Stegostoma tigrinum: one gene and its partners. The protein of the gene in region 2 interacts with the protein of the main gene of each other region in a pairwise test. Links are inferred from orthologs where the notes say so. Each region holds a gene or a part of one and is shown on either strand. Other genes may lie near its edges. The genes, in order: tufm, arl6ip1, spg21 and acsf2.

Region 1 (7,253 bases), on a different chromosome or scaffold from region 2:
GAGACAGTGAGAGATTAACAGTGTGAGAGGGTCAGTGAGAGGGGAAATGTGAGACAGTGAGAGATTAACAGAATGAGAGAGACAGTGAGAGGGAGAATGTGAGACAATGAGAGATTAACAGAGTGAGAGAGACAGTGAGAGGGAGAATGTGAGACAGTGAGAGATTACCAGAGTGAGAGAGACAGTGAGAGGGAGAATGTGAGACAGTGAGAGATTAACAGAATGAGAGAGACAGTGAGAGGGAGAATGTGAGACAGTGAGAGATTACCAGAGTGAGAGAGACAGTGAGAGGGAGAATGTGAGACAGTGAGAGATTAACAGAGCGCGAGGGACAGTGAGAGATTAACAGTGTGAGAGAGACAGTGAGAGGGAGAATGTGAGACAGTGAGAGATTAACAGAATGAGAGAGACAGTGAGAGATTAACAGTGTGAGAGGGACAGTGAGAGGGAGAATGTGAGACAGTGAGAGATTAACAGAGTGAGAGAGACAGTGAGAGATTAACAGTGTGAGAGGGACAGTGAGAGGGAGAATGTGAGACAGTGAGAGATTAACAGAATGAGAGAGACAGTGAGAGGGAGAATGTGAGACAGTGAGAGATTAACAGAGCGCGAGGGACAGTGCGAGGGTGAATGTGAGACAGTGAGAGATTAACAGAGTGAGAGAGACAGTGAGAGATTAACAGAGTGAGAGGGACAGTGAGAATGAGACTGTGAGATAGTGACAGTGAGAGGGAGAATGTGAGACAGTGATAGAGTATGCTAAGTACTGAGTCACTAGTGACACCATGTGTGAGTAACCACATATTGCCCTGATATTCCAGGAAAGCTGTGTTTAATCATGTCAGCACTTCAGGGTCAGAGCTGATCGATTCACATTTCCACAGCTGCTCATTCAGTAATTCAATGAGATCCAGGAAAGATCCCGAGGATTATGCAGTTATACCACTCAGATATTTCACCCGAAAATAATTAAACTGCCAGACGGTCAGCGCTGAGGGAGCGGGCACTGTTGGAGGGTCAGTGCCAAGGGAGCGGGCACTGTCGGAGGGTCAGCGCTGAGGGAGCGGGCACTGTCGGAGGGTCAGCGCTGAGGGAGCGGGCACTGTCAGAGGGTCAGTGCTGAGGGAGCGGGCACTGTCGGAGGGTCAGTGCTGAGGGAGCGGGCACTGTCAGAGGGTCAGTGCTGAGGGAGCAGGCACTGTCGGAGGGTCAGTGCTGAGGGAGCGGGCACTGTCGGAGGGTCAGTGCTGAGGGAGTGGGCACTGTCGGAGGGTCAGTGCTGAGGGAGCGGGCACTGTCGGAGGGTCAGTGGTGAGGGAGCGGGCACTATCGGAGGGTCAGTGCTGAGGGAGCGGGCACTGTCGGAGGGTCAGTGCTGAGGGAGCGGACACTGTCGGAGGGTCAGTGCTGAGGGAGCGGGCACTGTCGGAGGGTCAGTGCTGAGGGAGCGGGCACTGTCGGAGGGTCAGTGGTGAGGGAGCGGACACTGTCAGAGGGTCAGTGCTGAGGGAGCGGGTGCTGTCAGAGGGTCAGTGCTGAGGGAGCGGGCACTGTCGGAGGGTCAGTGCTGAGGGAGCATCATGATGTTAAGGCACCACTGTGGAATAACAATGTGTGCGGAGCCGTGTCCTTGCCTGATGTGGGACGCCACTCAGTGTGCTAAGTCCTTCCTTGGGCTCTCTCCCTTGTTGCAGTGTCCATTCGGTGGCATCGGATCATTGCAAATGCATCTCGTTCGAGTAATTTGTCGCACATGGTGGCAGCGTTGTCTTCATCAAAAAGTCTCCGAAAGAAAACAGGTGATGAGTGAAAATGTTCCCTGAAAGCTGCCACCCAGGTGGACAGAGTTGTTCCGAAGGCGTCTGGTGCGTTTGCTTTCATTAATAGACGGATTGAGTTCCAGAGCCATGAAGTTACGCTCCAGCTATACAGAACCCTGGTTTGGCCACGTCTGGAGTATCGTGTCCCGTTCTGCTCGCCTCATTACACGGAAGGATGAGGAAGCGTTGGGAAAGGCGCAGAGGAGATTTCCCAGGACGTTGCCTGGGATGGAGGGAAGGTCTCACGAGGAAAGGGTGAGATAGCTCGGGCTTTTCTCTGTAGGACGACAAAGGATGCGAGGCGACTTGATAGAGGTGTACAAAGTGAGCAAAGGTATAGAGTGGGTGGCCAGAGACTTTTTCCTGGGGCGGGGGTAGCTGCGACGAGGGGGGCACAGTTTGAAAGTGAGTTGGGGGGTAGATACAGGGGAGACATCAGTCTTTACTCAGAGGGGGTCGGGGTGTGGAATGCATTGCCGGAGAGGGTAGTGGAGTCGGCCTCATTAGGGGCATTTAAGCGGCTATTAGATAGGCATATGGATGGTAGCATAAGGTAGGGGCGGAGGTTAGATAGACCTTAGGTTTAGGGTCAAAGTTCGGCTCAACCAACGATCTGACGGAGGGCAGACGTTACCCTTGGGTGGGTGGGGGAGTTGCGTTTCTGGGAATTGAAAGAGGGGCAGGAAACGATTGGGAGTGGGCGGGGAGGGGGTGGTGGTGGTGGCGGTGAGGGGCAACACGGTCCATTTCGGACTGAAACGCGGGACGGAAGGATCGTTTGGGCTCTCTTGAGGGCGCCCGGCGAGATCCCGGGGGAAGGCGGAGTGAGGCGAAGAGGCGGGCACGCGAAACGCCGTCCACGCCCAGCCCGTCACACAACGGCTGCTCTATCGCCCACCCCCGTCTTCTTCCTCGACGATTCCTTGAACTGGGGTCCCCGGGTGGGGCGGTGGTGAGGCTTTGGGGAAAGATGGCTGCCCAGAGACAGGGGCGTATATCCTCGCAAAGGGGGTCAAAGGTTGGGGGAGGGTGAAGAATGGGGCTGAGACCCAACGGCCAAGCAGCACACCCCCACCAACGCCGGCGGGCAGAATGGACTCATTCTGCCCCGTTGGCATCTGACTTGGGCGTGGGTGGCGTCACTGTACCATTGGGCGGCACTCATCGGCTGCAGTTGACGGTCCGGGGCACGGGTGCTGAGGTGGGTGTTGACGGTGGCGTAACGGACTTGGGGGCATCCAGGTTGGGGAGGGGGGGGGGGGCTGAGGGTCTGGGCGGAGTTGGGTGCGTTGGGGAGAGAGCGGTGCAAGGCAGGCAGTGCCAAAGGACAACGGTGCACCTTGGTCACAGAATCGCCAAACCTAACCGTTCCCCGCCAACCCTCCCTCATGGAAACCGGTGGAAATGGGAAGGTGGCTGTTTGGTTGGGGGGCGGGGGGGGGGGCGGTCAAGACGCCATGCCGAAATCCCAACCCCCTTTCTCCCCCATCTTCTCCGGCCACTGCCCACACTCTAAAGTTGGCCTCAGGACCTTGGTGAGGGCAGAGGGCATAGGTGGTCCAGGAGGATGAAAGGGGGCGGGGCAAGGTCGGCGGTTGGGGCCGGGGGCGGGGCCCTGGTGACGGTTGGAGTGCGAGGCGGGCCCCCTTGCCAGCGCGCGCGCGGTTGGCGGAGCCCTTGTCGCCATGGAAACCACCCGGGGCACGTGGCCCGTTGGAAGCCTGGAGCGCCACGGAAGCTGCGGAAAGGGGCGGGGCCAGTTCCACTCCCCCCGCAACAACACACAATCCGAGGCCGAGCCCCCGCAAAGGAAGAGATCGGAGGTTGGGGGGGGGGAAGAAACGTCATTGCGGGGCACGTCGGGAGGGAGCGCAGTCGTTGTTGGGCGGGAATGGGCGACGCCATTGGAGGGGCAAGGCGACACCGGGTGAAGCGGTGGTGAACGTCATTGCGGGGCACGTCGTGCGATGAGGTCCAGCGAGGTTGGCTGAGAAGGCTGACGTCACTGCGGGGCGACGTCAGCGGACGGGACAATCGCTGGCTTAAGGGCCGGACAGAGCGACGTCTTGAGGTCACTTCCAGGACTGCCGGAGACGACCAGAACATCAAGATGGCGGCGCTGAGAGTGGGTGCATCAGGTGGGCTGTCAGATCGATAATAGGATGGAGACGGAGACGACGCTCAGACCGACGTTGTACTTTAGATGTGTATTACGGACTAGGCAGAGAACGCAAGCTGGAGAGGGCCGCCTCCGGAGCGGCACTAGAGAGGGGCGTTAGGAGCTAGAGAGCGCGATGGGGGTGAGGGCGGGGCGACGTCGTTGCGGGGCACGTCGGCGGTGGACGGGGCGACGTCCCTGCGGGGCAGGAATGGGGCCAATGGACGGCGCGCTGCCTGGCGTGCGCGGTGACGTTGCGTTGTTGGGTCGGCGGGACGGGGTGAGGTCACTTCCGGAAGCGTGAGCGCAATCACCCAAGATGGCGGCGCTCAGAGTGAGCAGTGGAGGTTGACTCTCAGACATACATTATATCATGGCGGGGGAGGGGGGGGGAGATGGTGTGCGTCTCAATCGATGTTATATTCTAGAGAATAAGTACAGGGATGTGGCGGTTAGGGTGGGATTAGCCAATGGGAAATTGTCCCGTAGTGCCCAGGGATGTGGGGGTTAGGGTGGGATTGGCCGATGGGAAATTGTCCCGTAGTGCCCAGGGATGTGCGGGTTAGGGTGGGATTGGCCGATGGGAAATTGTCCCGTAGTGCCCAGGGATGTGCGGGTTAGGGTGGGATTGGCCGATGGGAAATTGTCCCGTAGTGCCCAGGGATGTGCGGGTTAGGGTGGGGTTGGCCGATGGGAAATTGTCCCGAAGTGCCCAGGGATGTGCGGGTTAGGGTGGGATTGGCCGATGGGAAATTGTCCCGTAGTGCCCAGGGATGTGCGGGTTAGGGTGGGATTGGCCGATGGGAAATTGTCCCGTAGTGCCCAGGGATGTGCGGGTTAGGGTGGGGTTGGCCGATGGGAAATTGTCCCGTAGTGCCCAGGGATGTGGGGGTTAAGGTGGCATTGGCCGATGGGAAATTGTCCCGTAGTGCCCAGGGATGTGGGGGTTAGGGTGGGATTGGCCGATGGGAAATTGTCCCGTAGTGCCCCAGGATGTGCGGGTTAGGGTGGGATTGGCCGATGGGAAATTGTCCCGTAGTGCCCAGGGATGTGCGGGTTAGGGTGGGATTGGCCGATGGGAAATTGTCCCGTAGTGTCCAGGGATGTGCGGGTTAGGGTGGGATTGGCCGTGGGAAATTGTCCCGTAGTGCCCAGGGATGTGCGGGTTAGGGTGGGATTGGCCGATGGGAAATTGTCCCGTAGTGCCCAGGGATGTGCGGGTTAGGGTGGGATTGGCCGATGGGAAATTGTCCCGTAGTGCCCAGGGATGTGCGGGTTAGGGTGGGATTGGCCGATGGGAAATTGTCCCGTAGTGCCCAGGGATGTGCGGGTTAGGGTGGGATTGGCCGATGGGAAATTGTCCCGTAGTGCCCAGGGATGTGCGGGTTCGGGTGGGATTGGCCGATGGGAAATTGTCCCGTAGTGCCCAGGGATGTGCGGGTTAGGGTGGGATTGGCCGATGGGAAATTGTCCCGTAGTGCCCAGGGATGTGCGGGTTAGGGTGGGATTGGCCGATGGGAAATTGTCCCGTAGTGCCCAGGGATGTGCGGGTTAGGGTGGGATTGGCCGATGGGAAATTGTCCCGTAGTGCCCAGGGATGTGCGGGTTAGGGTGGGATTGGCCGATGGGAAATTGTCCCGTAGTGCCTAGGGATGTGGGGGTTAGGGTGGGATTGGCCGATGGGAAATTGTCCCGTAGTGCCCAGGGATGTGCGGGTTAGGGTGGGATTGGCCGATGGGAAATTGTCCCGTAGTGCCCAGGGATGTGCGGGTTAGGGTGGGGTTGGCCGATGGGAAATTGTCCCGTAGTGCCCAGGGATGTGCGGGTTAGGGTGGGATTGGCCGATGGGGAATTGTCCCGTAGTGCCCAGGGATGTGGGGGTTAGGGTGGGACTGGCCGATGGGAAATTGTCCCGTAGTGCCCAGGGATGTGGGGGTTAGGGTGGGATTGGCCGATGGGAAATTGTCCCGTAGTGCCCAGGGATGTGCGGGTTAGGGTGGGACTGGCCGATGGGAAATTGTCCCGTAGTGCCCAGGGATGTGGGGGTTAGGGTGGGATTGGCCGATGGGAAATTGTCCCGTAGTACCCAGGGATGTGCGGGTTAGGGTGGGATTGGCCGTGGGAATTGCGGGGTAACGGGGATAGTAATGACTACGTCTTAGTGCAGTGCTCTTTGGAGGGTCGATGCTGACATGATGGGCTGAACGGCCTGTCTCTGCGCTATTGGGATTCAACACTTCTTTGAACCTACCCAAGGTGAGGGTAGAGTGAGAACGGGACACAGGATCGTGCAGTTACAGATCGCACAAGAGCGTGGGAAGAAAGATGGTTGGGTCAAGTCTTTGAGGAGGACAATCAGAGTGGAAGGCAGCTCCGCAAGAGGTCGGGAGAGGGGCCGAGATGGAGGAATGCAGAGGGGGAAATTACAGGCAGATTAGAAGTCAGTAAAATTAGCAGGAATATGCTGAAAACGATGGGAAATATTCTAGCACCTGTCAGGCAGGGATTGGCGGTGGGGGTTGGCTTTGCTTCAGGGATGTAGGTGGTGAAGTTTGAGCATAGGGAGTGACTGTTGGCGAGGGAGGACGCTGGGGTCTGAGCTGCACCCATCACCATGTTAACCTTTCTCCGTGTTTTCCAGTTCCAAAGAGCTGTATCCGGAGTTTGCTGACCGTTCGAGCGGTGAGTGCTCAATCTGACAGGATACCAGAGCTGTGTATCTAACCCCGTGCTGTCCCAGTCCTTGGGAATGTTTTTGTGGTGGGGGACAGTATAGAGGGAGCTTTACTCTGTATCTAACCCTGTTCTCTCCCAGACCCTGGAAGTGTTTGATGGGGTGGGGAGGGTGGCACAGTGTAGAGAGAGCTTTACGCTGTATCTAATCCCTTGCTGTTCCAGTCCTTGGGAGTGTTTGGGGGGTGGGTGTGAACAGTGTAGAGGGAGCTATACTCGGTATATTCGGGCCTTCTGCCTGTCTGCGTGCAGGCCCTGAGGATTTGCTCTCTGTCTCTGTTGGTTGACAGACCCGGCTCCCCCAGTGCGTCCTGGTGGCCCCTGCCCTATCTCGGAATCTCGCCACTGAGGCCAAGAAGACCTACCAGAGAGAGAAGCCTCACATGAATGTCGGCACCATCGGCCACGTGGACCATGGGAAAACCACACTGACTGCAGCCATCACCAAAGGTAGCGCAGGGGGAGGAGGGAGCGAAAGGGAGAGTGTCGAGGGGGAACTGAGGGAGAGGGGCGTGTGTCGGGGTGAGCCGACACACCGAGAC
Region 2 (7,158 bases):
ATAATTTCTCAGCATTATACAGGTTAAATCACACGTGCTTGCCATTATCATTTTGATTGCGGCTTCCTTGCATCTCTTACTAAGTTAAATTAAATGTACTTTTTAAAAAGTTATATTTTGAGAGAATTACAATCTCTCCTCCACCTTGATTTAAAAAAAACTCCTTTTTCCAGTCCCCATCATGAAACTGTCCTCCAGCATGAAAGGCTGCAGTGGACGAGATCTTGCTTGAATTTCTTTGACATATTTTACTTAGCCAGCTGTCAGTAAACAGTAAGCAGTAGAAGCTAATGTTTACTGTTGAGGATTTTGTCCTCTCCCACTAAGGGATTCCCAAACCAAGTGCGGTCATGAATGTGCAAAACTGATGCATGCAGACAATAGATCAAAAACGTCAGTGAAACCTAACTCTGAATTTGAAAAGGAAGTTCGGTTTACTCATTTTGGAACAAATGAGCTGCTGAAACCTCTCTATAACACTTTGCCGTCCTGATAAATGTATAATTGATTGACCGAAAGTTGCACATTTAATTAGGCATCTGGAGCAATGACTAAACTTCAAAAGTACTTCATTGGCTGTAAATCGGTTTAGGATATCCTGAGGTCGTGTAAGGCATATGTAACTGCAAATTCTTTCGTGGAGAAAATTGAATGGGAAATGGTGCGTTTGATATCTGTACTTGAATATGAAATCCTGTTTGTATTATGCACATTGTTTATAAAAACTCAACTAATTGAAATGATAAAATATTGTACTGCTACGATTTACATCCAGGACCGTATTTCCAATAAATTTATTACATTCACAGTGATCCTGGCATCAGCACTATTTTCTGTTTATCCCTGCGCATTCAGAAAATCACTGGTAGGAAGAGAGAAGGTTAAAGTCCAGTTTTGTCCTTCTGAGGGACTGACGTTATTTGCATCAGGTTACAACTCAATATTCTCTTGCACACCACAGAAAAAAAAATTGTAAATTGCCGCTTGGAGTTGGATTATTTTTACTTGTGCTGTTTTACAAGAGTTTTGTTTCCTGTTTTCTGTTTGCGGCAACTTTTCAAAAAACCTGATAAAGGCAGAAACAAGTTTATTTCCTTCCTGAAATTCTGTTGTCTAAATGAAAAAAATAATAGAACACTATAAAATGTTCAAAACATTGAAACAAAAAAAGGATGCAGTTGATGAGATGCATCAGAGATAATGGGAACTGCAGATGCTGGAGAATCCGAGATAAAGTATGGAGCTGGATGAACACAGCAGGCCGAGCAGCAACTTAGGAGCACAAAAGCTGATATTTTGGGTCTAGACCCTTCAGGCCCAAAGTGTCAGTTTTTGAGCTCCTAAACTGTGTTCATCCAGCTCCACACTTTATCAACTGCATCTTAGATAACAGTGTCTTGTAAGAATATGGCTTGGAACATGTACGCATCCTGTTCTGCTAACTATATCTTGGATCTACATGTATAGGTGGAATTGAGTAATGGCTTGCATTTTTAAAGTCATAATATATTGCTGTAGTTAGCATTCTAACCTCAATTTGACATGACTAAACCCCAATATAAGCTTTCACATCTTAACTAGCAGACATTTCAATGCAGTTTTCAAGTTGCCATCCTTTGAAGTTGAGAAGTTTTATTTTCCGTCTGGTTCAGATATGCATTAAAGATAAGATTCCTACTTTATCCTGTGCAGGATCCTCAAACAGGTTAATTTGTTGCTCATCTCATTATTGTCGGCAGAATCTCCATCTAATTGTTGGCCACATTATTTTCTTTTGAGCACTTCAGAATAATTAATGTTTTGTGACATTTTAGATGTGATGGGGTGTAAATATGAATATTTTAAAATGGTTTGATACTAACAGAAGCTCTTGTACACTAATTCCTATTCTTTGGCTGTGAGGAATAGAAAAGACCATTACCATTAGTGTAGTCAGCTATCTTTTTAGTTGTAAAACAAGTTTGTTGTTTTTTATTCATTCACAGGATGAGGGCATTGCTGGCCAGGCAGCATTTATTGCCCATCCCTAGTTGCTCAGAGGGCAGTTCAGAGTCAACCACATTGCTATGGATCTGGAGTCACATGTAAGCCAGATTAGGTAAGGATGGCCGTTTCCTTCCCTAAAGGGCATTTGTGAAACAAATGGGTTTTTCCTGACAATTGACCATGGATTCATGGTCATCATTAGATTCTTAATTCCCGATAGAATTTGAATTCAAATTCATCATCTGAAATGGCAGGATTCAAACCAGAATGTTGTCTGGTCTCTGGATTAACAGTCCAGCCATAATACTACTAAGCCATTCTCCCACTGCTAAATAAATGTTAAATAATATAAACACCATGTTTAAGAAACAGGCAGTTGAGGTATTGATGCATGATGAATGTCTGTCTGTTTGAACACCTAATTCTGACTGATTTTAGTGAATACAGTTGAGTTTATTTCTAAGACAAATAAACTTGTCTAATTCACTCATGGGATGTGGATGTAGCTAACTGGCCAGCATTCAGTTGCTCTTGATATGGTTGTAAGTAAGCAATGTTTTTGAACCACTGCAGACCCTCAATGCCATTAGGGAGGGAATTCCAGGGTTTTGATCTGGTGATAGTGAAGGAGTGGTGATATATTTCCAGGTCAAGATGGTGGGTGGCTTGCAGGGTAACTTGCAATAGTGGTGTTCCCATGTATCTATTGCCTTTCTTTATAAATATCATGTGTTTGGAAGGTGTTGTTAAGGATCTTTGTAGAGACCAGGAGTTGAGTATTGCAAATTTATTCTAAATTAGCAGTTACTCTAATAATTGTTATCCCAAAAAATGTTTTAAGACTTCAGGGAGGAATGTTGTAGGTGTTCAAAATGTTACGCAGCTGGTTAGTTGACCAACTGTACAGGCATGAGAAAACACTGAGCGCAGCAGAGCGAGCAGCTTGACGTTTTGGGTTAAGACCCTGCTTCAGAAATGGGGGAGGGGAAGGGGATTCTGAAAAATAGGGGGAGGTAGATAGAAGATGGATAAAGGAGAAGATCGGGTGAGAGGAGACAGACAGGTCAAAGAGGCAGGGTGAGAGCAAGTGAAGGTGAATGTAGGTTTGGGGGGGGAGGGGGTGGAAATAGGGCTGTCCAGGGAGGATGGACAGGTCATGGGGGTGGAATGAGGGGATTGAGGTGGGAGGAAGGATAGGTTAGAAAGGCGAGGACTAGTTGGGCTGGTTTTGGGATGTGGTTGGGGAGGGGAGATTTTGAAGCTTGTGAAGTCTACATCAATACCCTCAGGCTGCAGGGTCCCCGAGTGGAATATGAGATGCTGTTTTTGTACAGTCACGAGGTTCATTTTGTAACCATTCTCTACGAAGGACGGATTAGAAAACTTCTAAGTGATTCTTGTGGAGTTTACAGAACAGGTCTAAATGAGCAGCCTTAGCTTGAGCAGCATTGGATATGGGAATCCTTGTGTGTAATTTTTTTTTGTAAGAACCGTGCCCTCTTACTATTCTAAAGTTTCATGATCTTCAATGCTCAAATTGTAGTGTTAGTTCACTCTGCTTCTAGAGGGAAGGAAAGAAAATCATGCAAACAACAGCGCTGCACGTGCTGTGGGCCTGTTGACCTATAATGGTGACTACCTGTGTACATGAACACGGTCGCCATCACTGTTGCTAAGAGAATATCTGTGGCTGGATTTCTTGCAGAGACTGTCCTGTACCCACTGCACTTCATGTGGGTTGACTCATACCTGATGGTTTGTATCTTAACCTTTTATAGGAAGCAGAGAGAGATAAGGTATAGATTGGTAGAAGCCTTCCAACTATTCAGATGTTTTGGAAAACTAAACCCCAGTTGCCTTGACTCCTATTCATATAAAATCAGGCCGCCTCTACCTAGCCTTAGGAGTGGGAAATTATTGTAGCCTCTTCAGGAATTTAGGTGCAGGGACTAGTTTGGGCTAGGGGAAGGGGGCGGGGTCTCCTCAGCGGTGGGCGGGCAAGGGGCGTGGCTCCTTGTCCTGTAGGCGGGGTTCGGTCGGCGGTGGGCGTTTCCTGTCCAGGGGACATTCGATCACCGTGAGCAGTGCCACGGCCGGCCAATCAGGCGTGTGGGTACGGCCGGAATTGGTCCAATCAGCAATGCCGCCTGCAGTATCACGTGTGGAGATGCACCATTAGGGTGGGAGCAACCGCGCATGCGCAATAAACGGGCGTCGAGAAGGATCGAGTGGCGATGGCGAGTGGGGACGGAGACAATAAAAGCACCAACCTCCTGGTGAGGGAACTCCACAGCACCACTGTCCCCGCGATGGGGTGGGGGAAACAACATAACTATACCCCGTTATGGGGGCGGGGTGGGGGGTGGCGCGGCCAGACTTCTCCAACACACGTACACCCAGTAGCGCGGGAGAGATGGGCTGGGCTGGGTATGGTGACCGGGGGCTGAGGAGGGGTGGGGTGTGTTGGGGGTATTTGGGATGGGGAGTGTTGGGGGTATTTGGGGTGAGGAGTGGTGGGGGAGGGAGTTGGGGGTATTTGGGGTGAGGAGTGGTGGGGGAGGGAGTTGGGGGTATTTGGGGTGAGGAGTGGTGGGGGAGGGAGTTGGGGGTATTTGGGGTGAGGAGTGGTGGGGGAGAGGGTTGGGGGTATTTGGGGTGAGGAGTGGTGGGGGAGAGGGTTGGGGGTATTTGGGGTGAGGAGTGGTGGGGGAGAGGGTTGGGGGTATTTGGGGTGAGGAGTGGTGGGGGAGAGGGTTGGGGGTATTTGGGGTGAGGAGTGGTGGGGGAGAGGGTTGGGGGTATTTGGGGTGAGGAGTGGTGGGGGAGGGGGTTGGGGGTATTTGGGGTGAGGAGGTTGGGGGTATTTGGGGTGGGGAGTGGTGGGGGAGGGGGTTGGGGGTATTTGGGGAGGGGGTTGGGGGTATTTGGGGTGGGGGAGGGGGATGGGGGTATTTGGGGTGGGGAGTGGTGGGGGAGGGGGTTGGGGGTATTTGGGGTGGGGAGTGGTGGGGGAGGGAGTTGGGGGTATTTGGGGTGAGGAGTGGTGTGGGAGAGGGTTGGGGGTATTTGGGGTGAGGAGTGGTGGGGGAGAGGGTTGGGGGTATTTGGGGTGAGGAGTGGTGGGGGAGAGGGTTGGGGGTATTTGGGGTGAGGAGTGGTGGGGGAGAGGGTTGGGGGTATTTGGGGTGAGGAGTGGTGGGGGAGAGGGTTGGGGGTATTTGGGGTGAGGAGTGGTGGGGGAGAGGGTTGGGGGTATTTGGGGTGAGGAGTGGTGGGGGAGAGGGTTGGGGGTATTTGGGGTGAGGAGTGGTGGGGGAGGGGGTTGGGGGTATTTGGGGTGAGGGGGTTGGGGGTATTTGGGGTGGGGAGTGGTGGGGGAGGGGGTTGGGGGTATTTGGGGTGGGGGAGGGGGTTGGGGGTATTTGGGAGGGGGATGGGAGTATTTGGGGTGGGGAGTGGTGGGGGAGGGGTATTTGGGGTGGGGAGTGGTGGGGGAGGGGGGGTGGGGGTATTTGGGGTGGGGAGTGGTGGGGGAGGGGGGTGGGGAGTGGTGGGGGAGGGGGGTGGGGAGTGGTGGGGGAGGGGGGTGGGGAGTGGTGGGGGAGGGGGGTTGGGGGTATTTGGGGTGGGGAGTGGTGGGGGAGGGGGGTGGGGAGGGGGTTGGGGGTATTTGGGGTGGGGAGTGGTGGGGGAGGGGGGTGGGGAGGGGGTTGGGGGTATTTGGGGTGGGGAGTGGTGGGGGAGGGGGGTGGGGAGGGGGTTGGGGGTATTTAGGGTGGGGAGTGGTGGGGGTTGGGGGTATTTGGGGTAGGGAGTGGTGGGGGAGGGGGTTGGGGGTATTTGGGGTAGGGAGGGGGTTGGGGGTATTTGGGGTGGGGAGGGGGTTGGGGAGGGGGTTGGGGGTATTTGGGGTGGGGAGTGGTGGGGGAGGGGGTTGGGGGTATTTGGGGTGGGGAGTGGTGGGGGGAGGGGGGTGGGGAGTGGTGGGGGAGGGGGGTGGGGAGTGGTGTGGGAGGGGGGGTGGGGAGTGGTGGGGGAGGGGGTTGGGGGTATTTGGGGTGGGGAGTGGTGGGGGAGGGGGTTGGGGGTATTTGGGGTGGGGAGTGGTGGGGGAGGGGGTTGGGGGTATTTGGGGTGGGGAGTGGTGGGGGAGGGGGTTGGGGGTATTTGGGGTGAGGAGTGGTGGGGGAGGGGGTTGGGGGTATTTGGGGTGGGGAGTGGTGGGGGAAGGGGTTGGGGGTATTCCAGGGGAGGGGTTTGTTAGTACTTGGGGTGTGGAGGGCGTGGGGTGGTGGTGGCCAGAGTTTCGGAATTGTATTTGGGACCATGCTTTGTGCAGGGGCCAGTAATGCGGCGATAATGGCTGTTTTCTTTCTGACTTAGAAGAATTGAAAATGCTGTCATTGTATCACATCATTCACAATGTCTTCATGTCACAAAACCTCTCATAGCTTGTTTGACGTGTCACCTCTTGTCTTAATAAAAAGTTACATTCATCTTGAGCAGGTTTTGTCACCCTGTCAACTCAATTGATTGGTTTATCCCTCTCTCTCTCTCGTTTTCGGTCTTGAGCCACAACCTGAGTCTAGGTCAACTCCTCTATCTAGTATGTAGTTTTCCACCTCTGCAATTTGACCTTTTCTGGCTTTCATTTAAGTTTTTGTGAGCTGAAGCCCTCATTCATGTTTGTGGTACATAAAACTCCCAGTGAAACTCACCAGTTCCATCCTGCAGAAATCTGCACTCATCCAAACCCTACAACCTGATTCCTGGCATGTACTAAATTCAACTCGCCCATTGCTCACTGGCGGTTCCTGACTGATAAAGCTTTCACTTCAAAATTTTCACCCTTCTGTTTAATTTCTACTGTGACTTCTCCCCACTCAGGAAACATGGCATCCACAACATTTCCTTTGCCCTTTGAGAATTCCCTTCCTAAATCTTTCCTGTTGTAGTATTTTCTGTAAAGCCTACCTCTGACCAAGATTTTGTCTTCTGTCTTAGTATTTCCTGCCCAATAAAATCCGTTGTCAGAGTGGCTATTTTATTGGTTTCTTGGTTTTGCAAAAACGTTTGCTTTTAACCATCACATTCCTCTGTTTTTGGGGGAACAGATTTGGAACTGGCAGTCGCTGACAGTGTTTGCTGGGAAGATTCTTTGACTGGTATTTA
Region 3 (7,159 bases), on a different chromosome or scaffold from region 2:
CCTTGTCCCAAAGAGAACAGTTACAACATCTTCAAATCTACCTAACAATTGAAGACTTTTCATACCTGGAACCATTCCATTCCCTTTTGCGAACTTATCTCATTGTCCTTACTACTATCTGTTCAAATCACATTTTCTTTGAGAAGCAAAAAATTAAATCCAACACTTTATCTTATTGATATCCTTTTAATTTGAAATCATCATAATCCTATCAGCAAATGCCATCTTAAACTAAATATTCAAAACAATGGGTCTACTATTGCCTGGAGTTGATTGTGATGATTTGATTTAAAAACTAGGAGGTCATGAGGTCAAAGTCTCATGTTTATTTCATCCTTTTATTTGAGGGGGAAGGGAGAAATGGGGGAAGCAGAAGCAGTTTGGACTTATGCTAGGCACAGTTAACTAATATTGACTATAACAGGGAAGCTCTCATCTTATCTGAATTTCATTTTTAGTGTTCTTATAGTTTATTAGAGGTCAGGATTGCTGTATTTCCACACATTTCTGAACAGTGTCCAGGGTCTAGGCCCGAAACGTCAGCTTTTGTGCTCCTGAAGGATGAAGGGTCTAGGCCCGAAACATCAGCTTTTGTGCTCCTGAGATGCTGCTTGGCCTGCTGTGTTCATCCAGCTTCACACTTTGTTATCAAAGTGAAATTCCTGTCTAGTTCATATGATGTGTTCTATCAGCCCAGATTCATCAAACTGCCCCCCATGACACCATGTTCTGAATTCCAGAATCAATTTAGTTTTCCTCCGCTCAGTATTTCTTTTAGTGATAAGGCATTGGATTGGTTTCTTAGTAACAAATGGTAGCAGGCTAAAATAAATTGATTTATCTTACATTTTACCGATTGTGGTACTGTTTTGAATTAAAACTAAATACATCAATTTAGTTTTTAGCAGGTGAGTAGATTTTCAGAACTAAAGAGACTTACCCTGGGATTCTGGTATTATTCCTCTGTTAAATATGTTCTAATTTACTTAGTCATCTTTTCTCAGTTAATTTTTTTAAAGTCTCTAAACTAAAGTCCTTGTGACTTTACTCACAAAACCAAACAAGTCATTGTCTATAATAGGAGTGTGGTTATAATCAGTAATATATGTTAAATAGGCACCCGGGTTCGATTCCAGACTTGGAGTTTGCGCGTTCTCCCTGTGCCTGTGTGGATTCTCTCCAGGCACTCTGGGTTCCTCCCACAGTCCAGAGGTGTGCAGGTCAGGTAGATTGGCCATTCTAAATTGCCCCACTGTGTCCAGGGATTTGCAGGCTAGGTGGGTTAGCCATGGGAAATGCAGGGTTACAGGGAGGAGTGTGAATCTAGGTGGGATGTTCTTTGGAGGGTCAGTGTGGACCTGATGGGCTGAATGGCCTGCTTTCATGCTCTAGGTATGCTATGATGATTCTATGATATATATCTGGTATTCAATAATCCCTCTCACATTTTCGTCTGCATAATTTATGAATACCGCAAACGAGAAGGGACACAGCACTGATCCCTGTGGTACACCACTGCACACTAGGCACCACTTACACTTCAGCAAAACTCTCTATCTCCTATTACTAAGCTAATTTTTACTAAACCGAAGCACCCGGAGGAAACCCGCGCAGACATGGGGAGAATGTGCAAACTCTGCACAGACAGTTGCCCAAGGCTGGAATTGAACACGGATCCCTGGCGCTGTGAGGCTGCAGTGCTAACTACTGAGCCACCGGGCCGTGGATAGATAACTGGCTAGGCAACAGGATGCAGAGAGTTGTAGTGGAAGGGAGTTTCTCAAAATGGAGAACTGTGACCAGTGGTGTTCCACGGGGATCCGTGTTGGGACCACTGTTGTTTGTGGTATACATAAATGATCTGGAGGAAGGTACAGATGGTCTGATTAGCAAGTTTGCAGATGACACCAAGATTGGTGGAGTAGCAGATAGTGAAGGGGACTGTCGGAGAATGCAGCATAATATAGATAGATTGGAGAGTTGGGCGGAGAAATGGCAGATGGAATTCAATCCAGGCAAAAGCGAGGTGATGCATTTTGGAAAATACAATTCAAGAGAAAATTATTTATAAATGAAGAGCCCTGGGGAAAATTGATGCACAGAGTGAGTGTTCAGGTCCATTATACCCTGAAGGTGGCACGGCAGGTCAATAGAGTGGTCAAGAAGGCATACGGCATGCTTCCATTCATCGGACGGGGTATTGAGTACAAGATTTAGCAGGTTATGTTACAGTTGTACAGGACTTTGGTTCAACCACATTTGGAATACTGCATACAGTTCTGGTCGCCACATAACCAAAATGCTTTGGAGAGGGTGCAGAGGAGGTTCACCAGGATGTTGCCTGGTATGGAGGGCGCTAGCTATGAAGAGAGGTTGAGTAGATCAGGATTATTTAATTAGAAAGACGGAGGTTGAGGGGGGACTTGATTGAGGTCTACAAAATCATGAGAAGTATAGACAGGATGGGTGGCAAGAAGTTTTTTCCCACAGTGGGAGACTCAATTACTAGGGGTCACGATTTCAAGGTGAGAGGCAAAAAGTTTATTGAGATATGCGTGGAAAGTTCTTTACGCAGAAGGTGGTGGGTGCCTAGAATGTGTTGCCTGTGGAGGTGGTAGAGGCAGGCACGATAGTGTCATTTAAGATGTATCTCGACAGATCCATGAATGGGCAGGGAGCAGAGGGATACAGATTCTTGGAAAATAGACGACAGGATCTGAATCAGCGCAGGCTTGGAGGGCTGAAGGGCCTGTTCCTGTGCTGTAATTTTCTTTGTTCTTTGACAGACACCTCAGTACCTCACTCTACCGCAAGCCCAACAGATAACTTCACAATGCCGTACATGTCTGGCTTCCACCTTAAACATGTTAAGGAAGCTATCCCCTCGGGACAAGCCCTGCATATACACAAGATCTGCTCAGACAAGGAGGAATGCAATGGACACCTAAAGATTTTGAAGGACAGCCTCATAAGAATGAGATACAACTCTCAACTCATCGATTGCCAGTTTCAAAATGCCACAATGAGAAACCATTAGACACAACCAACAGAGTACCCTTCATCATGCAGTACTTCGCCAAAGTGGAGAAAGTACGCCATGGTTCTAGCAGCCTTCAACATGTCAGTGATGATGACAAACATCTTGCCAAGATCATCCATATGCCTCCACTTCTCACCTTCAAACAATTGCCAAAAATTAAACACACCATCGTTCACAGCAAACTACCCAGCTTTCAGGGCGACATCGACCACAACACCACACAGCTCTGCCATGACATGTGCTCTGCAAGACATGCCAGATCATCGACATGGACACTACCATCAAACGTGGGAACACCACCCACTACGTACACAGCAAATATTCATGTGACTCAGCCAACGCTGTCTACCTCATACGTTATAGGCAAGGATGTCCTAATGCATGTTGAGGAGACCATGCAGACGCTACAACAATGGATGAATGGACACTGCGCAACAATTGCCAGACAGGAATATTCCCTCCCAGTCGGCGAACACTTCAGTGGTCAAGGACAGCCTCTAATCTTGGGAAACATGGTTAGCTACCCACGTACAGGAGGAACTAGAGCAAACCATATATTAAGCTCTCTTGCCGACTTACCCCCATGATTTAAACCTTTATTTAATCAATTACTTTAGGAGTCTTCTTCCCTTGAGAAATTTAAAACAGAATATCGCCCTTACAAGCTGTAAAACACAAAATAAAAACTTTCTAAGGGCTCTTGTGATTCAGTGGTAGTGTCCATACTTTTGAGCCAGGAAGTCCCACCTCTAAAAAAAATGTGTAATACCATGTCTGAACATGTTGAATCGAAAAAAGATTTTTTTGAACTGAGTAGCTGCGCAGTCAAGCAGCTTCCACTTGCCCCACCCACCGTGCACAAAACCCCGCCCACCACGTCAAGGAGCACACCCACTTTTTTGCCCCGCCCCGCCCCGCCCCGCCCCGCCCAGCCCACGAACAACGAACACCCCGCCTTATCGCTCGCCCCGCCCACTGGGCACAGTGAGCCTGCTCCAGTTACGTCACCCCGCACACTGCGCAAAGGACACACCCCTTTATCGCCCCACCTTCGCCGCAAAAGACGCATTTACGCCTTGAACACCCCGCCCACCGATTGGAAGCTCCTCCCATGTTTGTGACCCGGATGCGTAGCGGGCTCATCACGGGACAATGATTTCCGGTTGCAGTTGAGTTTAAAGGTAAAGGGGGGGGCGCGGTTGGAACTGTATTTGTGGTAAGAGTTATTTGTGTTTGTTGAGTGGTGGGTGTAATAAGATGTGCCCGTGTTTGTGGAGAAGCGGAAATAGGGAGGGCTGCGGGGTGAGCTATTGTTCATGGAGTAGGTTACTTTTGTTTGTCAAGCACTTGGGGTGTCCTGGGCAGTGTTTGTGGGGAAAGTGTCAATCTAGAAGAATGTAGTGTGCGGGAACTGCTACCACCTGTGACTCAAAACCCCGTTTATAAACAGAATTGAGATGTGATTTTTTTTTGTTTTACGAGAAGCTAGGGAAGGGTAGATAAGTGGTTCTGTTTTGCTTGAACTGTCATTAGTTAAGAGGGATAACCTAAGCTGTAGAAACCGTTTTGGGTAAAAATGAGAAATGATGATGTCAAAGTCACCTTTGCATCTGGTTTGTAAACCTCTTAAGAAAATATTGCACTAAGGTGGAAAATTCTACAGGACCTTCACAGAAATTCATTTGTAATAATCATCGGAATTTAGAAAAGCCTGGTGCTCAAGGATAATGTAGATAAAGCGTTTCACGAACTTTTCGGACACTTCCTTGGTACGGCGTATTCGGAATCAACAAAGTTGAAATCTGGCATTCGTCATACAAAATGATTGACTAATGCTTTTATAATGATGGTATTGCTGGAGAACTGCACATGCAATATGACTAAACTTGTTCATTTAGTTTGAGTTGTGATATGAATGGATCTCTTGAGTCAACAGCATTGCCGTGGTTCTGGAGTCCTTTCCTAAAAGAAAATTTTTAGTCGACGTTTTGAGCCGAGACCCTCCTTCAGAACTGGGAAGGGAGTTAGGAATAGAGGGAGGAGGGATGGGGCTGGGGGAAGGTAGGTGGGATGGTTATAGGTGGCTGTAGGTAGGGCTGGTGGGGATTGGTCAGTGGAAAGGGTAGGGCAGATAGGTGGGGAAGAAGATGGACAAGTTATGTCAGGTCAAGGAGGCAGGGATGAGCAGGAGGTTTAGATGTGTGTTGGGGAGATTTTAAACTGGCTAATTCTGTGTTAAGGTCATTGAGCTGTAGGCTCCCAAAGTGACAATACCTGGCTGCTAACCACTTTAATTCCACCTTCCAGTCCCACTCCTATGATGACATGTCTTTCCTGGGCTGCCACCAGTGACACAATGACACTACACACTTGCTTGAGGAGCAAGTGGCCACACCCCCCCGACTTATTTCCCAGCTCCCTACTCCCTACTCCCTTCTCCACTTCTCTTCTCCCCCCCCCCCCCTCCTCCACGTCACCCCATGCCCCCCCCAAGTTCTGAAGAAGGGCCTGAACCTGAAACATCAACTTTCCTGCTCCTCTGCTGCCTGACCTGCTGTGTTCCTCCAGCTCCATACTATGTTGTCTCTGACTCCAGCATCTGCAGTTCTTGCTATCTCCAAATGCAATATGTCAGTACTCATTTGAAGAAAGTTAGGAATAGAAGAGCAGATCTATATCCTCAGCAGTACCAATCACTGGTCAGGCCTCATTTGGAACACTGACCAGTTTTGGGCTCTGTGTCGAAGGATGGATGCGTATGGCAAAGATGGAAATTTGCAAGAATTTTGCTGGGGATGGAGAGCTTGTCATGTAAGGAGTGGGTGGGGTCTCTGGACCTGAACTTGGAGTTTTGAGGAATGAGGGGTGATCTGATTTTAAAACCTAGGGAATATGAAGAGGCCTGGATACAGTGGACACGGTGAACATGTTTCCACTTCTCAGTGAGACTAGGAGCTGAGCGCATAGCCTCAGAGTGAAGGGATGACTGAGATGAGGAGGAATTTATTTAGTCAAAGGATCATGAATCTGTGAAATTCATTGCTGTAGGATGCTATGGTGGCCAAGTCATTGAGTGTGTTTAAGGTGGAGCTGGATAGGTTTCTCGATTGATAAGGGAATGAGAGATCATTGGGAAAAGGCAGAAGAACAGGGTTGAGAAACACTTCAGCTATGATTAAATGGCAGAGTTGCCTCGATGGGCCAAATGGACCAATTATACCCTATACCTTATCTTTATGATTAGTCACTATGGCGATTTCTCCATTCTTCAGTATTTATTTTGAAACTGCAATATATATCCTCAAGAAAATAAAAATCTACTGGATAAACAGGTCTGCAGCATCTGTGGAGAGAAAATAACAAAGTTAATGTTTCTGGTCCAGTGATCCTCCTTCAGAATGCTGAATATAGGTCTTCAATTGTGTGTTTTCATTCATACTTTAAGCTTATATCTCAAGGATTTATTGTTGATATAGTACTCAAAGGATATGACTGCCAAGTTTCTTTCTTGGAATTTCTTCCAATATTTTCTTGAGGTAAAATGCCATATTGATCTCAGCAAGTGTGAGAATATCTGCCACTTTAGTATCCTTCTGGCTTCCCAAACTAAAAGGCAACATTTTACTTTTTCACAAGAAAGCCCAACAGAGATTTCAGTAAGTATCACAAATGGCAGTTTTCATGTTTCTAGTATCTCCTAATGATGTAAGCTTCATAACACAACCCTTCATCTTTAATTTCAATCAGTCATGCCATAGAGTCATCTATCATGGAACAGACCCTTTGGCCCAACTCATCCACACTGACCGGATTTCCGAAACTGATATAGTCCCATATCTGTCGACCTCCCCTATTCAAATGTCTTTTAAAAGTTATTGTACTCTCCTCTACCACTTCTTCTGGCAGCTCGTTCAGTACACACGTTGTTTGAATATTCTGTTCACCTGAATGACACCTTACACCTTGGGATTAGTCATCGTTGTACTCAATGCTAATATTTTAAATCTGGCATCTGGCCTTGTTTGGGTGCCAGACAATTCAGCTTTTCGGTTGGATTTTGCTATTCTTCCATTTCAGTCTTTTAAGTGCCCGTGTTTTTGTTTGAGAGACCCTACGTTG
Region 4 (7,694 bases), on a different chromosome or scaffold from region 2:
AGTAAACCTATATCAAGACAGCTTTTGAGCAGCAAAGGAGAAGTGAGAGAGAAATATGATTATTTAGACAAGAACCTGGAACTCCCTGTTATTCCTAAACTTGAAGTCAGTACCCAGCAAAAAACCAACTTGGGAAAACAACCGGTCACCTAGGAAGTCAAAGATCTACAAACTTTGTCACTACTGAAGAAGCAAGACAAGAACGAGTTAGCATTCAGGTCATTCTCACAACTCAAGGACTCTGAGCACTTTAAAGTGAAATTGCCATTACTTCCTGTCCATACCTCAACTTCCTTTTTAAACTTATTACCTGAGTATTTTAGGTGTTTGATGTTTCATTTTTAATATTTTATGGGGGTCAGTGGGTAATAAAATTCCTCTTTATCCCACTCAAGTAAACTTTGCAATTTATATCCAATTTATTCCTAGAGGGCCTATCTGGCCATCAAGCCTTGTTGTAAATACAGTTAAATACATGTTAGAGATCCACCATGGAGATGCTCATCATTCTGAAGCTGTTTTGTTCCCACCCTTGCCATAGATCGGTTCACTACTGAGCCAATGGGCAGCAACACAGAAAAGAAATGGCACCTGTCTGTGTGTTGCAGTAGGTTAGTGCATTTGGCTGTAACCAGAAGGTTGGTGGTTTGAAACCATCTAGAGACCAAGGACCTCCTTACTTTGGGATGTCATGGTGACTTAGTGGTTAACACAGCAGCCCCTCAGCACCAGGGACCACAGTTTGTGCCACTTTCAGGTGACTGTGGGGAGTTTGCACATTCTCCCCATGTCTTGCATGGGCTCCTTCTACAGTCCAAAGATGTACAGGCTAGGTGGATCAGCCATGAGAAATGCAGAGTGACAGGAATGGCGGTGGGGGGGGGGGGGGCGGTGTAGGCTTGGGTGGGATGCTCTTTGGAGGATTCAATGGGCCAAATGGCCTGTTTCCACACTGTAGGGATTCTATGTATAAATAACTTCTTTTTGGAAGAGCAGCAAATATCCTTATCTTCAATGAGCTTGAGGAGGACACTGGGAACAATGGTAAGCCTGCTGCTGTGTGGGGGAGACTGTAAAGGACAGCATACCCGGTAGGTGGGTGAGAAGAACAGGCTGTGATGTGATAACTGGTTCAGGGGATAAGACTCTGAGATGGTGATGGAAATGGAGGAGAAGGTTCTGAGATAGTGAAGGAGATGGGGTAGAAAGATTTAAGATGGTGAGGGAGATGGGGGAGAAGACTCTGAGATGCTAAGTGGTTTACGGAAGGAGGGTCCAGGATAGCAAACAGGTTGTGAGATGACAGCACTCTCCCTTTCATTGAAGCATTGATGCCCTGAAAGGCTGCAGTCAAGGTGGTGGAGCAGGCCTGTTGATCACTTGGCAGCATTTATATGGGAATGAAGGAGCGTGAGTAGGCGAGTTAATGTCAGAGTGGTTAAGTGAGTATGTATTGGAATTAGAAAAAGCTTGTATGGGGAATGGGAGTGTACGGATATGGGACAGTGTCGGTTTAGGACCAAGGGTGCACGTTTGTGTGCATGAGGATTGAATGCAGGCATGTGTGTTTTTGTGTGGGAGAAACAGAGTGGAGGGGTGAATGTGTGTGTTTCTGCGTGTATGTGGGGAGTGGGAGAGTTTCTATGAACCTTGAGACTGAGGAAGCCAAACACAAATTCACTTTTCTCCTCCTCTTCATTCCTCAAAACCAATCTGCAAAGCAGCATGGGTGTGCAGGAATACCCTGGCCGAAAGACAAGATGCTTCTAACACTTCTCCCCCACTCAACCCCCACTTCTATATGAATTGTACCAAGGCCAGCTCAGAGTGTGTGTTGCCAGACATGAAAGCAAGATCAGTGTTAGTTAAATCCGAGTCAACTTGGCCTCAATGCCTACCCACAGCTTTGGGTGATCAGGACTTGCAACCTAGTCCAGCTTTAGCTCTGTTTCTTAACCAAGGTGGTTAAAAAAAACTTGTATTTGCCGCTGACACATTTTAATGGCAATTTTATGAGTTACTAATTTACTTAAATGATTAATTTATTTCTTTGGAATTTTAAAAAATTCATACCCCTTATTGTGCCAAACCTTATGTTTATATTTGCTCACTGCACTTCCAATCACAGTCCCCATTAAAGAGAAAGAGAAGTTGAAATGTGCCACACCCCTAGTGCAAGGGATAGAGTATTCACTGTTGTCACATGTACTCCAGCAGAGGAGTACATGAGTACAGTGAAAAGTTTTAACAATGGCACCATCTTAGGTAGAAGTAGCTAGGTATAAATGTTGGATACAAAACAGGAATAAAAGGAAAAGTAATAGCATTACTTACAGTGTCTAAAAAAAAGTTAGAAGTAGAATAGTTACAACAAAGTTAAAGGATTGACATTACAGTCCGGTAAAGAATTTCAGATCAATGTTACATTGCAGCAGCTCAACAAGCACGTGGTCTGATCGCCCACGCCAGGCCCCTGACCAACAACAGTCCCACTCCACTCCAAGTCTCCAGCTGCTCCACCAGACACTCAGCTACACCAAGGTAAGTTGCGCTGCTCCTGGACTGGCTTTTCTTCTCGCAGATCTCCAGGACTCATTTTCCCTCGAGTTGTTCCAGGCCAAGCTTCCTCTCATGATGTTTTGAGACACACTTTCCCTTGTGCTGTTCTGGGGACTACTGCCCCAATCACTGCTCCAGGAGCGTTAAAAGGAGAGAAGAAAATAGTAACAAAAGAAAAAGAACAGGCGGAGTAGAGAGGGTCTGCATGGAGAGTGTTACTCTGTCACCATCTTCCCGGAAGGAGCTTAGATAACTCTGCTTTGCAAGGTGCTTTGTTCTGTATCAAAACAGTATTGTACCTGCTTCATTATTTAATGTGGAAGTGTGGAAGAAGTTTTACTGTACGTTGAATTTATACTGTACCTTCACCGGGAGCATTTGGTGGGGACAGTGGTATAAAAACTGAACATTACAAGACAATTATGTGTTTTAAAATGTCTTCTCCAAGCACTTTGGCTCAGAGAAATGCCATTGTGATCCAGTCACCATCAGGAGAAAAGCCCATTGACGTGGAATGGCTGTTTTAACACCTTTCACTAGAACAGCTACTATGAATTGGAAAGAAAAAGTATGGAGCCAGAAAGGTCGTTGCTGCTGTTCTGTCAGAAATATTGAGGAATAGGAACAAATAACAATGTGATAACAGTTTTGTCGGAGCTGGCTAAACAACTTTAAAGGGTCAAATCTGGGAATCTCTAGACCTTCTGGTCTGTGATGATCTGCTGGAGAGACATATCCAATGAAGTGTACCTGTTGGTGATAATTATAATCTGTGAGATCCCAGGCAGAATGGAATGATTGTTGAAGAACACTACAAACTCAGCCTAGTATGGCTCCTTTGAAGAGCTGGAGGTGACTTTGGGATAGTTCTTTTAATGATGCATATCTATCAGAAGCATGATGTTGAACAAAAGTGTTTGATAATATATATTCTGGTTGTCTTAGTTGGTAAATACAAAACATACAGTTTTCTTTAGTTTGGTGCATTAGTTATGTATAGGTTAGGGCTTGATCTATGTAGATTATATTTTGTTACAGTAAAAGTCTTAAAAGGTGAGATCTTGTCCTTTGTTATATTTCTATTATTTGTTTGGAAAATTCAATCCTTTAAAAAAGTTACAGGCCTCAATGGGGTTGTAAAATTGTACAGGAAGCATTATTTTGTACGCAACGCATGCTGTACCTGCCCTGGGAGTATTGGTGGGGACAGTATAGAAAGGAGTTTTACTCTGAATCTATGCCTAGCTGCATCTCCCCTCAGAGCATTCACAGGGACAGTGTTCTCAGCAATTTATTCTGCAACTCACTTGCACTGTGTTTGATGGGGAAAATGTATTAACAGTTGAATTACTGTTAGTTCATTGATTCCAGCTAAATTATCTGGATAGATATGGTTATTAAGTGACAGCATCAACACAGATTAGAAATTCAGATTTATGGTTGGGAACAGCTTTTAAAATTAGGAAGGTAATTTTGAATCTGATTTATCCCTCTTATTGTCTTTATGTGCGCCCTGCCTGCATGGTTATCTCCTTGGAAACAAAACAACAAAAGCATCCAGATGCTGCATGGTTGCCTCCTTGGAAACAAAATAACAAAAACATCCAGATGCTGGAAATCTGAAACAAAAACAGAAAGTGCAGGAGAAACTCTGCTTTCTCTGAACAGATGCTCGAAAACCTGCTGAGTTAACGTTTCTCATCCAGTGATCCTTCATGCTTGGACAATCCCGTGTTTGTATTAAATGTTCGAGCCCTGGTAATTTCTGAAAACAAAATAGATCAAATGCCTGGATCTTCACCTTTTCACATTATGTCAAATACAGATTTGCAGGGAAATTCTATCCTTAAATCACACCCCATTGTATACACCATCCACCACATCCCCAGTCTTTTCAAAGTGTTTTGCTTTTTGAAACTCTGGTATTCCACAATGAGACTAACTGGACAGTTATTTCAAAGACAAAAAGAAACAAAAATCGCTGATGAAACTCAGCAGGCTGTTGACTGGAGGGTTCGTTTGTGATGCAGAGTAAAATCCCCGCACAGACTAGGGTCAGTTGGGTTGACGTTGGTTTGTGATGCAGAGTAACGCCTGCAGCGTGGGTTCAACCCAAACAACGTCGCCTGATGTTGAGGAAGTGAGATATTTCACAACAGCTGGCAGAAACACGATGGGCTGAACAGTTCAGTTTCTTTCTTTAATGCTGTATGATTGCAGATGTCGGGTGCTGTGGTGTGATTTCAGTGGGGAATTTCTGATACTATAAACGGCTGTAGTGGGCAGAGTCACTTCTGGCCTGGCGCTGCATTCCGGTCTGATTACCCGAGTTTGCCTGTTTACTCCCGCACACCTCCTCTAAAGAGATTGAACCCTACCCCTGACCATAGGGTCAAAGAACAAGCTGCCCTCAGTGTTCAGCAAAGTTGCAGTGTCTCGTTTGCCCCCAATGATGTGTTTAAACGCTGGGCTTTCTTTCTGCTGCATTGGCGAATTCTTTCTGGGACCTCTGGAACAGACTTTGACAGCGGATACCACACACTGAATGGTCGGCAGAACCGTCCATCTTTCATTTTGAGCAACTGTTGCGCTGACATTGGACGGGAAGGAACTTCTAATCTGGTTTTAGTGTGGGTTGCGGAAGTGTAAAAGTTCAGTTAGAAGTGTGTTAAGAGGGAGCCCTCGGAGTTATCGCCGTTTTCTACACTGTATTTGTAATAATGGGCTTCGCGTTCGGGCTGAGGAGTTGTGCCGGCCCCTGGAACCGGAGCTGGCGGCTCTTCCCGGAAGATTTCTGGAAAGGCTACAGTAGCAGTGGGACAAAAACACTTGCCCCATACAGGTAAAGGCTGCCGCTGGCTGTAACTAAGCTTCGGGGATCAGAGTGTCTTCGGTCATTTAACAGAATGTCTTCGGTTGTGGAAATGAGAGAAATGACTCATTCACTTCGTTTGTGTCTCCCCCAAGCATTCTGTTCTAGGATCTCTTCTGTGACTGGGAGGTTTTTGTTGTCAAACACTCATCGCCGGGTCTTGTGGTTATTTCGGCACAGATGGCTGTGCATATTAGCATCTGTCAGCGTATTTTAAATAGTCTCATTCTCTCGTGTGAGAGGTAGAATATTGGCTGCCAGTCTGTGAATTGATAGGAGTATTTTGTTTTGACAACATTCGAAGACATTCAACGTTAACTCCGTTTTTCCATGGAGAGATGCTGTCAGACCTGCTGAGTTTCTTCAGCATTTTCTATTTTTATTTCAGTTTTCCAGCATCTGTAGTATTTTGCTTTTATAATAAGGGTGGTGTCTCATTAAAGTAAAAGCTAGGATGTTGAGGTGCCGGTGTTGGACTGGGACTGACAAAGTCAGAAGTCACACAAAGCCAGGCTATAGTCCAACATAAGAGAACACGGAGTGAAGCTGGATGAACACAGCAGGCCAAGCAGCATCAGAGGAGCAGGAAAGTTTGACGTTTCGGGTCGAGACGGAAACATTTTTTTGAAGAAGGGTCTCAATCCGAAACGTCAAACTTTCCTGCTCCTCTGATGCTGCTTGGCCTGCAGTGTTCATCCAGCTCTACACTGTGTTATCTCAGATTCTCCAGCATCGGCAGTTCCTATATCTCGATAGTCCAACGTTTATTTGAAATCACAGGATTTCAAAGCGCTGCTCCTTAGTCAGGTGAATGGAGTGAAGTGCGCAGGCACATAATTTATATACAGTGACCGCTCAAGGATAGACTTCCTGTTTGTGTCACGGGCCTTCTCGGTCAGGTCCACTGGCGTCGAGCCGGTGTTCTTCTCTGACCACTGCCTCCTGTTGGCCGACTGTCACTTACAGGACGACCAGCCGGCCGGCAAGGGGACGTGGAAGCTCAACACGACTCTGTTGACCCCAGAGAACATCGAGGAGCTTGAGAAGGAGTACGTTGGTTGGAGAACTGTGAAACCCCTCTTTGAGTCTCCGGGCGACGGGAGACGGTGAAGGAGAACATCAAGAGGTTCTTTGTCCTCAAGGGTGTTCGGAAGGCGAGAGAGAGGTGGAGAAAGCTGTCGCGACTCCAGAAAAGGGTGCAGAACCTGCTCCTTCTGCAGATGATGGGGCTCGATGTCACGGAGGACCTCCGCGAGGTGAGGGGCCAGCAAGCCTCGCTCTTCGCCGCGGAGGCCTCCAGGATAATCTTCCGGTCCAGGGTCCACTCCGTGGAGCAGGACAAGATGTGCTCGCGTTTCTTCTTTCAGAAGGTGCACAAAGAGAGCTCTGTGCTTAGCCGGCTGAAGGAGGATGATGGCTCGGTGACGTCGTCTCGGCCCGACATTTTGAGGATCTGCAGATCCTTCTATGCCGGACTGTACGACACGAAGCCCACAGACAGCACGGCCTCCAAGCCGTTCCTGCCGTCTATTTCGGAGGTCTTAGACAACGGCACGAGGGAGTGGCTGGACCGGCCGATATCCCTGGATGAGCTACCAGAGCCCTCAAGTCCTTGGAGAGGAATAAGACTCCCGGGAGCGACGGCTTACTGGTCGAGCTGTATTCCACTCTGTGGGACCTGGTCGGCCAGAACCTGCTGGAGGTGTACGATAGTGCGCTTCGGGCAGGGGAAATGTGCAAGTCCACGAGGAAGGGCATCATCACCCTCATTTACAAGAGGAAGGGGGAGAGGGAAGAAATTAAGAATTGGCGTCCCATTTCACTATTGAACGTGGACTACAAAATCCTGGCCAAGGTCATAGCCAACCGGGTCAGGTCTGTCCTGGAGTCGGTGAATCACCCCGACCAAACCTGTGCTGTGCCGGGCAGGAAGATCGCTGAGAGCCTCGCGCTCATCAGGGATACGATCGCCTACGTGCAGGACAGGCGGGTGGACACCTGGCTTGTCAGCCTGGACCAGGAGAAGGCCTTCGACAGGGTCTCTCATGCTTACATGAGGGATGTCCTCTCCAAATTGGGGTTCGGGGAGGGCATCCGCAATTGGATCCGGCTGCTCTACACAAACATCGTTAGCGCAGTCTCGATCATTGGGTAGGAATTGGACAGTTTTCCCATCAGATCTGGATTCAGGCAGGGCTGCCCGCTCTCTCCTGCCTTGTTCGTGTGCTGTGTGGAGCCCTTCGCCCCATCCATCAGGAAGGAC

Evidence for each region.
Region 1: the proteins of arl6ip1 (region 2) and tufm interact in binary tests that used the Homo sapiens proteins (3 or more experiments, as listed by UniProt). The two-hybrid records come from large-scale screens. The link is inferred for Stegostoma tigrinum from reciprocal best matches to the Homo sapiens genes ARL6IP1 and TUFM.
Region 3: the proteins of arl6ip1 (region 2) and spg21 interact in binary tests that used the Homo sapiens proteins (3 or more experiments, as listed by UniProt). The two-hybrid records come from large-scale screens. The link is inferred for Stegostoma tigrinum from reciprocal best matches to the Homo sapiens genes ARL6IP1 and SPG21.
Region 4: the proteins of arl6ip1 (region 2) and acsf2 interact in binary tests that used the Homo sapiens proteins (3 or more experiments, as listed by UniProt). The two-hybrid records come from large-scale screens. The link is inferred for Stegostoma tigrinum from reciprocal best matches to the Homo sapiens genes ARL6IP1 and ACSF2.

Annotation. Positions count from the first base shown.
Region 1 is NC_081403.1:634,096-641,348, forward strand, and holds the start of tufm (elongation factor Tu, mitochondrial), read left to right. Parts: upstream 1-4,249; 5' UTR 4,250-4,297; coding exon 4,298-4,325; intron 4,326-6,619; coding exon 6,620-6,660; intron 6,661-7,001; coding exon 7,002-7,161; intron 7,162-7,253. UniProt on the Homo sapiens protein: GTP hydrolase that promotes the GTP-dependent binding of aminoacyl-tRNA to the A-site of ribosomes during protein biosynthesis. Also plays a role in the regulation of autophagy and innate immunity.
Region 2 is NC_081376.1:54,010,873-54,018,030, reverse strand, and holds the start of arl6ip1 (ADP-ribosylation factor-like protein 6-interacting protein 1), read left to right. Parts: upstream 1-4,152; 5' UTR 4,153-4,220; coding exon 4,221-4,262; intron 4,263-7,158. UniProt on the Homo sapiens protein: Positively regulates SLC1A1/EAAC1-mediated glutamate transport by increasing its affinity for glutamate in a PKC activity-dependent manner.
Region 3 is NC_081386.1:721,249-728,407, reverse strand, and holds the start of spg21 (maspardin), read left to right. Parts: upstream 1-4,140; 5' UTR 4,141-4,221; exon of another isoform or gene 4,222-4,256; intron 4,257-7,159. UniProt on the Homo sapiens protein: May play a role as a negative regulatory factor in CD4-dependent T-cell activation.
Region 4 is NC_081375.1:36,164,426-36,172,119, reverse strand, and holds the start of acsf2 (medium-chain acyl-CoA ligase ACSF2, mitochondrial), read left to right. Parts: upstream 1-4,688; 5' UTR 4,689-5,279; coding exon 5,280-5,401; intron 5,402-7,694. UniProt on the Homo sapiens protein: Acyl-CoA synthases catalyze the initial reaction in fatty acid metabolism, by forming a thioester with CoA. Has some preference toward medium-chain substrates. Plays a role in adipocyte differentiation.